Linked DNA regions of Rattus norvegicus. Each later gene encodes a partner of the first gene's protein in a complex. Links are inferred from orthologs where the notes say so. Each region holds a gene or a part of one and is shown in the gene's direction. Other genes may lie near its edges.

Region 1 (4,400 bases):
CTTTCAAAACAGTCAGGATACTGATTCTGAATTCCCCATATATCCAGACTCCCCCACCCCCACCCCCAACTCTAATTCTCTCTTCCTCGTATCCCTCTCCACCCAACCTCTGATAGCCACTTTGGGATCTCAAAAGATATTTCACATTGCACCAGAATTTCTTTGGAATGGAGGAGACTGGTAGAAACAAGGCTGAAAAAGAAAAGGAGGCCAGTCCTGCCTAAGGAAGCAGAGTCCACTTGAGCCTTCTTGCACACCAGAGGCGCCTTCGACTTTGTTCCCTGCTCTCTCCTGCCACAACCCAGTGACCCAGTCCTCCCTTGGCCCCCTCTCATGGGAACCCAACACCCTACCCCGGTGCTGCACCTATGCTGACAGCAAATGGAGCATCGTCGTTTTAGGTGTGGGTGGACGCTGCCTAAAGACGAGGGACGCTGCCTGCTCCCTATCTTTCACCCTGGTCAGGGCGAGAACTAGAACCCATACCAGAACCCGTACCACACCTCAACTCAGTTCATTTAGAGCAGTTCTCACTTCAATTCCCGGTCGCCCTAGTTCACTCCAACCCTTTTCCTTGTCTTCTTTGCGACCCTCCAGGACCCTCTTTAGAGTCTTTGAAGAAGAAGCCTAGGTTTGGAGTTTCAGATAGGAGGTGGGATATGCCAAGGCAGAAGCTAATCCTCACCAAAGAGCTAAGGTAGCTGACACTGTGGCGATCACTGCGGCCACTGCGGCAGAACTCCGTAACTGCGGCTCCAAACGTACTAAGGCACCTGCTCTGTAGCAGGGGAGCCTGGTACGCAAAACCGGATCACCACCGCCATCACCACGTCATCTAAACCACCAAAGAAAGATGCTGGACTCCACAGTAGCTACTCACTCTCCCATCACCCCATCCCTCCGGCAGGCGCACGTGTAAACACACACACACACACACACACACACACACACACACACACACACACACACACACACACTCTTCCAGAACTAGGGGCATTGGTATAAGAGGTGGGCAGAAAAGGCATCTTTAAGAGAAGAAGGGAGAAACTAGCGCGGGGGCGAGCCTGGAGAGCAGTCACTCAGGAGCGCGCGCTGAACTCTGGAGCCGAGGAGGCGCGCCGAGAGTCACCTGGTGGGACAAAAAGCCGCCTAGAGCCTGGAACCGGCTGAGGTTAAGGGGAGGCTGGTGGGGGAGTGGAGGAGTTGGGGCCAGGGCAGGGGGCGGAAACTAGGAGGGGCGGGCGATGTGGTGGGCGGGAGCCTGAGCCACCAGCGCCGCGGGAGCAGGTGGAACCGGTGCTAGAGCTCGCTTAGCAGAGCTAAGTGGGACTTCACTGGAGCCATGGAGCTGCTCAAGCTGAACCGCAGCGTGCAGGGACCAGGACCCGGGTCGGGGTCTTCTTTGTGCCGCCCGGGTGTCTCCCTTCTCAACAGCAGTAGTGCCGGGAACCTCAGCTGTGAACCCCCTCGTATCCGCGGAACCGGGACCAGAGGTGGGTGCCTCCCTAAGCCCTTCTCACTGAACCCCACAGCATTATTCAAGAACCCTTCTGACCTCTATTCTGTCAGCTGCCCATAGTTTTCCTTTGTAGGACTTCCGCGACTCACACAGAGACCCCCCCCCCCCCTTCACACACTGCGCTCCCAAGCTCTCATAACTCCAACACCTTCCCATCATGGTTCAAAACCCCCGACTTCATACTTGCTCTGCCATAGCTACTCAGATCATCCCCGAGCTCAGCATCACACAGCCGGGAAACAAGGACCTCTTCTTGTCAGCAGGTCTAGCTTTCTTTTCCTTTAACATCCAGTTCACAGAGCCAGTACCAAGGAGAGAGAGCGACAGGAACCTCTGAATGAAGGGCAAAGGAGGGCTGGGCCGGTGAGGGCATAAGCTCTCTGGACTGCCTGAATGGGAGATAAGAGTTGTAATAGTCTCCCACCCCACCCCAACCTTTCCCAAGAAAAGAGGGCTACATTCAGATCTGAATTTAACCAGCACAAGGGAATGCTACCTTTCTTGTTCCATTTGTCCCCAAACTCTTCTGTTCCCAGGGTCAAGTCCTCCACCCATCTGCATGTCTTCTCTGTCACTCTGAAGGTCTCTGAGTCCCTTCCACAGCGCCCCAAGTATCCCTTTTCTCACTTGCCTAGAGCCAACTTCCCCTGGCAACAGTCACCCCATTCCTTTGTGTCACCTTCCCTTCCTACTGCTTTCCCTCATCCCGGCTGCAAATGACTCATTCCTCCCATCAGTAGCATCTTCATTGCTTCAATGAACATCTTAAAATGCATGTTCCCTTTCCATCCCCATATTTGTTTGCAATGTTTAATGAACATTTACTAGGCTTAGTGCTGGGAACACTGAACGAACTAGACACAGTCTGCAGTCTCAGCAGTCTGCAGCCAAGTACACAGGGACAGAGAAAATCACTGCCTAGAAATCCCACAGAGGGTCTGATTGGAATATGGACACACAAAGGAATTGGGGAGTCTAGTAACTTCACTGAGGGTGGAACCTGGGAGCTCGGGTTCAGTAAATGGAAAAGGAAGGAGTTGGATTCTATGTTCAAGAAGTAAACATTGTTAAATTATACCCTACGTATTTACTCAGCCCATGAAACAATTCATGCTTTCTCAGTTTGGCTTTTACCCACTGTCACTTACTCTTTCACTCAGGAAAGATTTATTGGACCAGAAACTGCTAGGCAACAAGGATACGCATTTAACAAAACTGACGAAAACCCTACTTCATGGAGCTCTGAGTTTATAGGGGAAACAGACAGTAAGCCAGGAATGGTAGCACAAAGAGAAGAAGCATTGTGGATATATAAAAGGGACATCTCCAGCCTACTCTGCCCTTGGGGATTAAGACGGGTTTCCTGGGGTATGGATGTGATCAAGTAGGGAAATATGACAGAGAACCAAGTGACAGAGCAGAAGAGGCATAAAATGTCTTAGAGAAAGATATCCTGTCTCAAAAGCTCAAAGTTTAAGGCTATAGCATGTCTGTTCAGTATAACACAGTTTTTGTATGCTGGAACATGTACCCTTGAAGGTTCCTAATAACAGTGTAAACCAACCTAGAGTGTGCTTGGGGAGCTTTATAGCTCTTGCTATAATGTGTAGATTTCCTCCTGAGGCATTGGGATCCACTAAATAGTGCTGCCAGGATTGATTGCATGGTGTTGAGATTCAGATAGAATGCAGAAAGATACTTTAGAAAGCTATTGCATTACACAAATCTGGCTGGAAGATGATGCTAGCACAGATGGAGAGGCTGGCAGTGAGGATGCAAAGAAGTGGACGGACCCAAGAGCGACTTCTGGAAACGGAGTCAACAGAACCTAAACATTGATTAGAAATAGAGAGGGTGGATGAAGTCAAGGGATGAGATCCAGTTTCTGGTTTAGGCAACTGAAAGGATGTGGATGGCATATCATAGAGAGACAACCAAGGAGGGGGACTAGACGTGCATTTCATATTACAGCACCTGCTTGCAACGGCAAGGCCCTACATTCAGCTCCTAATAACGAAGGAGCAGAAACAGTTTTGAAAGAGGGAATTATTATAAACTCAATTTGGAGCCCATAGAGTTCAAAAATTGATGGTTACTCACCAAAGCTGTTGAATCCTGAGATCTGGAACTTACCTTGGAGATCTGAGCTGGAAACATAGACTTGGCAAGTCTTCACCTTTGGGGGGGAGAACCAGAAACCATAGGAATTGGCAAAATACTTTTAAAAAATATTGTATAAAATGAGAGCAGGGAAGCTGAGCCAGGACCCTACAGAAGGCTGGCATTTAAAAGCAAGGCAGAGGAAAGAAGGTCCAGGAGGAGATGTAAGTGAAATAGAAACAGTAGCCGTGTCTTTGCAGAAAGTGAGAGAAGAGTCTTAGCTGAGGTCAGGTAAGGGATACTAATTATTGCTATGATGAATCAGAGATGAACAAAATATCCACACCGGGGTTGTTCATACACAATAACTACAGAGAGGGTGATGTGATACCAAGACCTGACTCAGAAGGAGGAGGACTGGGCCATGGAGAAGGGGTTGCAAGAAGTGAACAAGAGTAGTTAGCAAAATGTCCAAGGAGTGGGGGCATCAGGGAGAAAGAAAAATAGATCAGTGGTAGAAAATGTATGGGTTTGAGGAAAGGTTGGAATGTAGCAGAGCATTTCTTTTTCTTTCTTTTCTTTTTCTTTTCTTTTTTTTTTAAACAGGATCTCAAAGTGATGGGTTCAAAAAAATTTTTTTTGTATTAGCTCCTAGAGTAGCAAGGACTAGAGATGCTACACCGTGGGTGTTTGCAAGTAGAGAAGGATCGAGAGAGATGTTAATGGTTCTGATGCAAAGGAGGGCAGCCAGTAGAGCAAGGGACCTTGAAGAAGCAAGATG
Region 2 (4,466 bases), on another chromosome or scaffold:
TCCAATACCTTCTATCCCTGAGATTTTTGTGATTCAATTAATTACTGTCAATGCCTGTGCTGCTGTTTTGTCTTTTTTTTTTTTCTCCTCCCTTTTCTTTTCTTATTTCCATCTGCTGAGTCACCGTGTCCTGCTCTGGATTAGAGCGGTTACTCACTAGAACATTTGGGTGCCGGTTGCCATGGTCACAGTGCAGCCTGCATCCTTCATCACCTGTTAATTATCAACAAGGCTGGCTGCGAGCGTGGGTACCACTGCCCTCAAACCAAGACCCAAGGGACATCGAAGCTCCTTGAGACAGGAAAGGGGGGCCCAATGACGCATGAATGAGAGCAAATGCCTCATCTCAGTTATTAAAAAAATAAATTAAGGGGCTGGGGATTTAGCTCAGTAGTAGAGCGCTTACCTAGGAAGCGCAAGGCCCTGGGTTCGGTCCCCAGCTCCGAAAAAAAGAACAAAAAAAATAAATAAATAAAAATAAAAATAAATTAAAAAATGGCCCAGAGATTGTTATAACCTTGCCTGAATGTGGTATTCAGAAAGGAGTTTATCAAATAAACCAAGAGAAGTATCATTTTTCTATCGTGGTACATCTTTGAAAAATGCCTTTGTTCAATAACCATTTTAAGACGCAATTCTTTTTTGGTTGAGAAGTTATGAATTCTTAATGCAAATCGCAATCTACCCCTGAAAACCAAATGGAAGAGTCTTGAGACGCAAGGCCCTCAAGGAACGGGCTCCGGGTAGGGGGCTGACAAGCGGTTTCATTAGGCCGCAAACCCAGCAGGAGGGTACAAGAGTGTTGGGCAGATCCAGCCCAACGTAGAGGACATAGACAGGAGATGCTGAGGGTTTTCCATGGTAACAGGAGCATTAACAGGTTCCAAAGCAACCAACATGACGCTCTCAACAGAAAGAGCGAGCCCATCAGCCCATGGCCCATTGCTCCTGATAACTACAACATATCCTGTTTGCAAAGCCCAATGGAGGGGACAGGGATCAATAAATCACCCTACATTTGCACACTGCCTGCCCTTCAGACATCAACATACGGGCACCTCTGAATCTTAGGTCATTTGGTTCCCATTCGTTCTTCCTCTTGGCTCTCCTCTCCACCCCTCCCCAGGGGAGACAGTCCAATAGAAGACTAGGAAGCCTGTGGCCCAAGGGATACAGTAGAATGAGCTGCTCTGGAACCAAGGGAGTCTGTCTCCTGTCTGCCCCCCTCCCTGTTCCAGCCCTTCCCTTTCCCCGAATCCTGAATGGATAACTAATTGATTGACAGCTCTGTGACAGGGTGACAGATTGGACCTATGCTCCACACCCATTTCTCTCGCTGTGGGGAGTCTGGCCTCACCTGGAAGGAGGGTTTGGGAGGAACCTAGAGGGCTATATAAGGAGGCCTGGAGCAGCATGCAGAGCAGAGCAGAGCTGACCTACTGCCACAACAGCTAACCGTTCCCCCAGCTCTGCAGGTGAGAAACTGGGAAGGGAGGAGAAGGGCATGGAAGGGCATGGAGGGGCATGGAAGGGAAAGGAAGGGAAGGGAAGGGAAGGGAAGGGAAGGGAAGGGAAGGGGAGGGAAGGGGAGGGAAGGGAAGGGGACAATAGGGATTAGAATTGACAAGCCCAGGGCTGGGGATTTAGCTCAGTGGTAGAGCCCTTACCTAGGAAGCGCAAGGCTCTGGGTTCGGTCCCCAGCTCCGAAAAAAAAGAACCAAAAAAAAAAAAAAAAAAAAAAGAATTGACAAGCCCCCTTCCTATAAAGGCTCCAGGCCACGGTGTCTCCAAAGATGGGGCCCTTTGCTTAGCCTAGAATGGAATTGAGTCTCAGCTCTAAGGCCACACTGTTGTCCTTGATTCCCACTCAGGACCACTTCACTCAGGACCCAGTCATGATCCTGGGGTTCCTGCCAGTCAGGGAGGTGAGCAAGCGAGGGCTTTTCCCCCATTGCTAAGATGAGAAAACCACGGTCCAGAGGCTAGGAATTACTAGACTTTAGTAGGCAGTGCTAAGGCTGCAGCCCACAGCTCTGGATCCCATCTCAAGCCCTTTCCTAGGCCAGGGCTATCTAAAGGAACATCCTGTGATAACGAGAATGCTTTAAATCCATACTTTCCTACATGGCAGCCACTAGCCACATGGGTACTTACCACCCAGCTAATTCAAAGGTAGAAAAATTGAATAGCAATTCATCCAAATGTAAGGAGCCACAAATAGCTAGTGACTGCCATATTTATCAAGCTGTATGGCTCGTATTGGACAGAATGACTCTCTCTAGCATTGTTTCCCCTATTCTTTTCAGTCATCCTTCTTGGTAGGGTATCGCTCTAGCCCAGACTGGCCTAGCACCCACAGAGTCTTAAACATAAGGCACTCCTGCCTCAGCCTCCCAAGTACTGAGATAGAAGCAGGAGCCAGCATATCCAGCTACGATTTTTCAACATTTCTTTATTAGCCACAAATGTTTCTCTCCCACAGAAAATCTAGTCTGAAAATTTTGTCATAAAAAGCTAATGTTTTAAAGGGTTTTTCTGTTTGTTTGTTTTCGTTTTTGTTTTTGTTTTTCAAGACAGGGTTTTTCTAGTACCACCCTGCCTGCCCTGGAACTAGCTCTGTAGACCAGGCTGGCCTCGAACTCAGAGATCCATCTGCCTCTGCCTCCTGAGTGCTGGAATTAAAAGCATGTGCCACCACGCCCAGCTTCTAATATATTTTAATACACATTTTTCTTATGGGGGAAAGTTTTTTTAAAAAAAAAGGAGCAAAAGCAAAAACAAAACAGAAAACATCAAGTCCAAAGAACAGGTAAGGTTTGGAACTTGATGTTTGCTTGGGCATTCCACTTTAGGTCCGTGCTGTAGTTTCTCCAGACTCCATTCACCCTCCTGCTTAGCTGCAAAAGCTGGGGTTAATTTTTTTTTTTCCTTAGCTGCATAAGTGCAGTTGCAGGCTGCTCAGCAGCTAAACACAGTGGAGCCTCTCCTCCAAGGTTGCCTAGCAACCATGTGGCCCAGCCCCCGATGGACATGCTGATGGTCTCCAAGTGACAGTGTATGATCTATAACACCCTTTAGTGTGCGTGCATCTTTGTCGTTGTATTTTAAATTTCCCTTTAAGCTCTAAGAGTCACCTAAGAGTCACTGGACCTAGCCTCATCTGGCGGAGCAGTCTGGAAAAACACTGTTCTATGGCTATTGTTTTTTGCATTTGAAATCGTGTGTGTGTGCATATGCATGTGTGCTGTGTGCTTGTGTGTGTGTGTGTGTGTGTGTGTGACACATTTGGGTGGCAATGCCAGTGCCCATATGGACATCAGAGGAAGTCTGTTGCTCTATACCTTATTCCATTGAGACCAGATCCCTCTCCCTCTCCCTCTCCCTCTCCCTCTCCCTCTCCCTCTCCCTCTCCCTCTCCCTCTCCCTCTCCCTCTCCCTCTCTCTCTCTCTCTCTCTCTCTCTCTCTCTCTCTCTCTCTCTCTCTTTGTGTAGCCAGGCAGCTTAGAGCCCATCCGGTCTAGCCCTTTACCTCTGGGACTGTGGAATAGCCCCATCTTGAAACCCAGCTCTTTTCCCTTCTCAGACAAGATGCCTCGACTGTGTGTGTGCATGCTAGTCTTAGTGCTGGCTCTAGCTACCTTCTCGGAAGCTTCTTGGAAACCTCGCTCCCAGCTACAGGATGCATCCTCTGGACCAAGGACCAATGGGGCCCTGGAACAGCACCAGCTAGAAAAGCTGGGCCCAGCCTCTCACCATCGGAGACAGCTGGGGCCCCAAGGTCCGCAACACTTCATAGCAGGTAGTAACTGCTGACCCAGGCAGATTTGGCCATGGTTCCCCCATACTGATCCCACAGTTCCTTGAGACTTGGCCTTCTTCTCTCCATTCTTACCTCCTGTCACCTCCTTAGATCTGTCCAAGAAACAGAGGCCACCAATGGAGGAAGAAGAGGAAGCATACGGATGGATGGACTTTGGTCGCCGTAGCGCTGAGGAAGAAGACCAGTATAACTAGCAATGCTCTTCCAGAGCCCAGCCATCTCCAGCCACCCCCAGCTCAGTCCTTACAAAACATATTAAAAATAAACTAGCTTGCAATGTATCCCTGAGTCCTGTCGTGTACTTGACTGGAGAGGGGTTGAGGCAGGAAGGAGAGCTGAGTACACCTTAGAGGCAGACCAAAGAGTAGCACTGATCAAGAATCTACCTGGGTTCGGGTTATGGTTAGAGGTTAAGCAGTTAAGCTTTTACAGCTCTTTCAGAGAATTCTGATTCAGTATCCAGGTCACATATAGCTGGCTTACAGCTGCCTATAAGTCCAGTTCCAGGGAATCCAACCCTCTTCTCACTTCCTTGGATGCACCTAGACACATAGAACCTAATTTAATCACACACACACACACACACACACACACACACACACACACACACACACACAATGTGTGACTCTAGGAAGGTTTAAACCTT
Region 3 (4,286 bases), on another chromosome or scaffold:
TCATATCCTATTTATTGCATGCCTAGGGCAAGGCCTGCTTTGGCTTCAGGCAGGTACCCTGAGGGAACCACTGGATGAGCGCAGGCTAATGACTCCTCAACAGGGAAGACAGACATTCTGATGATTGAGACACACAGACACTCCAGAGTGAGCAAGCAAGTTGAAGGGTAGAAACTGGAACATTCTCTTCATCCAGGGAGTGCTGTATTAACAGGAGGCTATGACCAACTCTTGATGGCAATGTCCCTGTCTGCCTTTAGTCTGGGGCCGCTCAGAACACCTTACTGGGTAATGCTTGGAAAACACTTCAATCGTCCAATCGAAGTTGGGGGGCGGGAGGTAGGTCACAGGCCCCTGTTAAAAAGCAGATCACAATTTGAAGCATCTCCACTTCTACCTTCGCCCAACCTCAGGATTACAGCCACTATTCAGAAGAGACACTGGACTGAAGAAGCCTCTAGAAGCTGACCGAGGATGGAAGGAACAGATTTATAAATCATGCATCGTTTGTTTCCCTAAGTCCAATGGCAATTTCTCTTCCGTCTATCTCTCCCGCTAGAGTCCAGTTTCACTGGTCTTTGGGTGAAGCCCCCGACCACTGCTTGCAGGACGATGCTTCCCAACCTATCGGGCAAAAGAACTAAGTTTAGATGACAAAAGATAGTCCACTTAAAGGTGTAAAAGCGGCAGTGAACTGGTTTTTGTTTTTGACGTTGTTCAACCTAGACAGGAATGGGGAAAGAAGCTGCCTTAAAGAAAACCGAGGTCCAGAAAGACATCTTGTGCCCTCCGCGGAGTTTAGGAGATCTTTAAATAAGATTGGTTCACTTTTAAAAAGCAAGTGAAGAAGACACACCTCCTCCATCTTACTCTCATAATTCATAAATGCTGAGAGAGTCCTGGTTTCTATTCGGCCTGTGGCGAGGGCAGGTATTCCTGACCCTTGGGCTACTAGATCAACTGGTCCTTCAGTCCAGAAACAGAGCCCCAGGCTCTCAGCGTCCAATCGGAGACGAGCTCCTCCTGCAGCCCGCCCAGAGGCCTAAGCCTGTGTTAGCTCTACCCCTGGTGTCTTCCCTCGTTGCGGCCCCGCTCTCAGCCCAAGCCTAGACTGAGCTTAACTTCTCCCTTGGCTCCGCCCTCCAACCAATCACCAGTCCCAAATTTCTTTTGGCCCCTCCTCCAGACCCGCCCCGGCCCAGTCGCGAGCTTGGTTCGCCCGGGCCCCACCCCTGGCCCGCCCCGCCGTCGGTGCGCGGCGGCCGGGAAGGCGCCTCCCGCAGTCGCTCGGAACTGCGGACCTGAGAGCTTCCCGCAGAGGGCCGGCGGTGGGAGCGGAGTGGGTCGGGCGGGGCCGAGCCGGGCCGTGGGCCGTGTGGGGGCCAGGCCGGGCCGGCGGACGGCAGGATGGGCTGCACCGTGAGCGCCGAGGACAAGGCGGCAGCCGAGCGCTCTAAGATGATCGACAAGAACCTGCGGGAGGACGGCGAGAAGGCGGCACGGGAGGTGAAGTTGCTTCTGTTAGGTGAGGCAGCGCCCCGTTCTGGGACCCTTGACTCTCAACGCTAATCCCCAGAGAAGGACCTGAAACTACTCAGCCTAGCCTTGGACCCTACACCTGCGCTTGAAACCCCTAGGACCCACCCTTTTAAGATTCGAAACTCCGGATTGGTCTAGATTTATAATCCTAGTCCAGACTCTAGTTCAGACCCTCAACTCATCCCAGATCCCAGACACCAAACCTTGCATGGCTATCCCCCCCCACCCTTACTATCCAGTCTCAAGAGAACTTAACCCCTGCCTTTTAATTCCCCACTTTCTTAGGCTTTACTTAAACCCTCAGTACCCTACAGGTTCCCATCTTCAAGCCCTACCTGTTCTGTTTCTATTGGCATGAGCATTCCTTGGGACCCCTGTCAAGCCTCAACCCACTCCCTCTTTTCCTCACTCTGGAATCTGTATTCTCCCTCTGTGCACTCTGACCCCTTAAGAACCTCTTGAAGAGGGAAACTGACCACTCTCAAGTTCTCTGTAGCAGGATTCCCCTCAGGGCCTCTGTTCCAGGTCACCAGATATCTCTCTCTGCAGGTATCATCTGGCCCTCTTTTAAGTCTTTTCTCACACTCTGGCATTCCCTTGATCTGCACCCTCTTGCTCCAGGTGGACCTTGATAGGAGGGGAACCGGGGGGCTGGAGTGGGCCTAGACTGAGCTGGGCAGACCCTTTCCAAGAGGTTGGACCGAAGCTCTTAATAGTCACACTGGGGGAACGGGGCCAGGCCTCAAGCATCTGTGGGAAGTTCCGTTCTTTGGGAATGTGTTCCCTAGGTCCCAAGGCTTGTCTGGGCCAGGGCCAGGGGAGTCTGGGCAAGAGGAGGGAACATGGAGGAGTTAGGGTTGTAGCCACTTCCAAGGCCAAGGAAGATGGTGGCTGCTGGGATGGGGGGGAAGTGGAAGTAGTGAGCCAACCGACATATTGCTGCCCTCTATGCCTGTAGAGATCTGCTGACGGGTGCTGGGGTTCTCATACTCGGGGCTGAAACGCCTGAGATATGGCCTAGGATACTGAGTGGACCTGTTGGTTCCCTAAAGGAATACTGTGATGGAGAGTGGTGGGCAGGCTGAATGAGGGGCTAGTAGGAGTCAGCTGCCTGTAGCCCCGTGTGCTCTCAAGCATCCCAGTTAGGCTTTGGCAAAGGCAGTGGGCCTGATGCTGTGTCCAGACTCCCACTGGTAGTTAGAGTGGTTCCCTATGGGGGCCTGACTTGAGAAGATTGGGTCCTCTGGATTGTGGAGAGGAAGGCCCTAGCGGTAGCAGAAGCCGCGCAGCAGCGTAATCGGCTGGATAGTATGTGGGGGGGTGTGGCCCCTCAGCCCCAGGGCCGCCTTGGGGCCTGCATGTTGTGAAAAGCCTGGCTTTTTTGCCAGGCCTGTGGCCGAGAAACAACATGTATGTCTTTATGGATCCATCTGTTGACTGTCCCGGCGGACCCGGCCTGGGGGCACAGCCCCGGAGGTTTCAAAATGGCATCCGCTCCACTGCTGCCGCGGGGAGGAAGAGAAGGGGCGGGAAGGGGCGGCGGCCCAGCCTCCTGGGCTGCTTTGCGTTGGGCGCTTGCCTCTTCCTGTCTCTGCTGCGAGTGCGGCAAGCAGTGAGTGGGTGTCGACGCGGCGGCGGAATGTCCGTTACTGCTGGGCCTAGGGAGGGCACTTCCGGGATCGCTACGTCCCGGTGCCCAGCCGGGAGCCCCTTACCAGCCCCTCCCAGGTTTACTGCAGTTACTGTGGTGGCCAAAGAGATGTGGATCTGGACCAGAGAGCAGGGGGAAGGGGGTTGCACAGGACTCCTGGCCTGTTTTTCCTCTATGCTGACAGGCTTGTCCCTTAGAGCTCTGCTCAGCTTTTGGGCCAGGCTGTGTGGGACCGGGTATTCCTTCTTACTTAGCACTTTCTCACGGATCAGCCTATCCCAAGATCCTGTCCCTCTGGCCTTTCCTTCGTCTAAAATGAAATTCCTAGCTTGTGTCACAGGAGTACCCATGGCGAGACTAAGACCCTGCAAAAGGTGTGCAGCCAGGGAGCTCCGCCTGAAGTGGACAACCCAGTCTGCATGACCAGTCTGTCATTGCTACCTGGGAAGGGGTCTTGACTTGAATTAATCAACTTCCCATGAAGGAGTAAGGTGACACTGAGACCCTAGCTGTAGCAGTTTAGAAATTCTGAGCACCAGATCTACATAGCCAGAGACTCTGTCCAGGCAACGGGGACTTAAGCTGGAAAAGTGCCAATCTTCCCTCCCAGCCAGAACCACGCCTGCTGCCCCACCCGCACACTGTCTCCCTCCATACCCTGCATCCCTGCCAGAAGGCGGGCACAGTCACTGTCACCAGGGCTGAGGCAGATGTGGTACACACTGGCAAGCTAGTTTCCCCTGGCAGCTTGGCCGGACAACTAGAGAAGCTGATAGCAGTCTGACTGCAGGTCCGCCCCCTAGGGAATCCCCCACCCAGTTCAAGCAGACCGACTAGCTAAGCCCAGATAGATTTTGGGGGCTCTGGTGACAACCTGAACTGGACACACCAGGAGAAACCGTGTCCATTGTGGGCTCCACGAAGTCTCAAGAGTGTAGATGCTGCATTTGTCTTGCTGTAAGACTTTGTATTTTCCGTACTTAATTGTTCCTTAACATTCCATTGACGGATCTCCTCCCAGAACCCTTCCTGAGGTCCCACCAAGGCTAATGTGGCCTCTTTGCTCCCTGGGTTCCCAATTTCCCACTAGAGCATG

Evidence for each region. The genes of interacting proteins can lie anywhere in the genome.
Region 2: the proteins of Cckbr (region 1) and Gast are in contact, whole or in part, in a cryo-EM structure (PDB 7XOW), measured with the Homo sapiens proteins. The link is inferred for Rattus norvegicus from reciprocal best matches to the Homo sapiens genes CCKBR and GAST. Residues at the interface, in NP_795344.1 of Homo sapiens: Cys107, Pro114, Asn115, Gly118, Thr119, Phe120, Met134, Gly135, Val138, Tyr189, Gln204, Cys205, His207, Leu222, Val349, Tyr350, Ala352, Asn353, Arg356, Pro361, Ala363, His364, Leu367, Ser368, Ile372, His376, Tyr380; in NP_000796.1 of Homo sapiens: Glu85, Ala86, Tyr87, Gly88, Trp89, Met90, Asp91, Phe92.
Region 3: the proteins of Cckbr (region 1) and Gnai2 are in contact, whole or in part, in a cryo-EM structure (PDB 7F8V), measured with the Homo sapiens proteins. The link is inferred for Rattus norvegicus from reciprocal best matches to the Homo sapiens genes CCKBR and GNAI2. Residues at the interface, in NP_795344.1 of Homo sapiens: Thr87, Thr89, Arg152, Ala155, Ile156, Pro159, Leu160, Ala162, Arg163, Val164, Thr167, Ser169, Ile241, Gly248, Leu249, Lys328, Val331, Leu335, His394, Arg396; in NP_002061.1 of Homo sapiens: Glu28, Ala31, Arg32, Glu33, Val34, Lys193, Leu195, Thr220, Phe337, Thr341, Asp342, Ile344, Ile345, Asn348, Leu349, Lys350, Asp351, Cys352, Gly353, Leu354, Phe355.

What each region holds. Positions count from the first base shown.
Region 1 is NC_086019.1:169,182,271-169,186,670, forward strand, and holds the start of Cckbr (gastrin/cholecystokinin type B receptor), read left to right. Parts: upstream 1-1,307; 5' UTR 1,308-1,342; coding exon 1,343-1,493; intron 1,494-1,702; exon of another isoform or gene 1,703-1,908; intron 1,909-2,015; exon of another isoform or gene 2,016-3,621; intron 3,622-4,400. UniProt on the Homo sapiens protein: Receptor for gastrin and cholecystokinin. The CCK-B receptors occur throughout the central nervous system where they modulate anxiety, analgesia, arousal, and neuroleptic activity.
Region 2 is NC_086028.1:85,763,781-85,768,246, forward strand, and holds Gast (gastrin precursor), read left to right. Parts: upstream 1-1,435; 5' UTR 1,436-1,475; intron 1,476-1,627; exon of another isoform or gene 1,628-3,583; 5' UTR 3,584-3,588; coding exon 3,589-3,799; intron 3,800-3,910; coding exon 3,911-4,014; 3' UTR 4,015-4,100; downstream 4,101-4,466. UniProt on the Homo sapiens protein: Gastrin stimulates the stomach mucosa to produce and secrete hydrochloric acid and the pancreas to secrete its digestive enzymes. It also stimulates smooth muscle contraction and increases blood circulation and water secretion in the stomach and intestine.
Region 3 is NC_086026.1:117,184,592-117,188,877, reverse strand, and holds the start of Gnai2 (guanine nucleotide-binding protein G(i) subunit alpha-2), read left to right. Parts: upstream 1-1,255; 5' UTR 1,256-1,407; coding exon 1,408-1,525; intron 1,526-4,286. UniProt on the Homo sapiens protein: Guanine nucleotide-binding proteins (G proteins) are involved as modulators or transducers in various transmembrane signaling systems.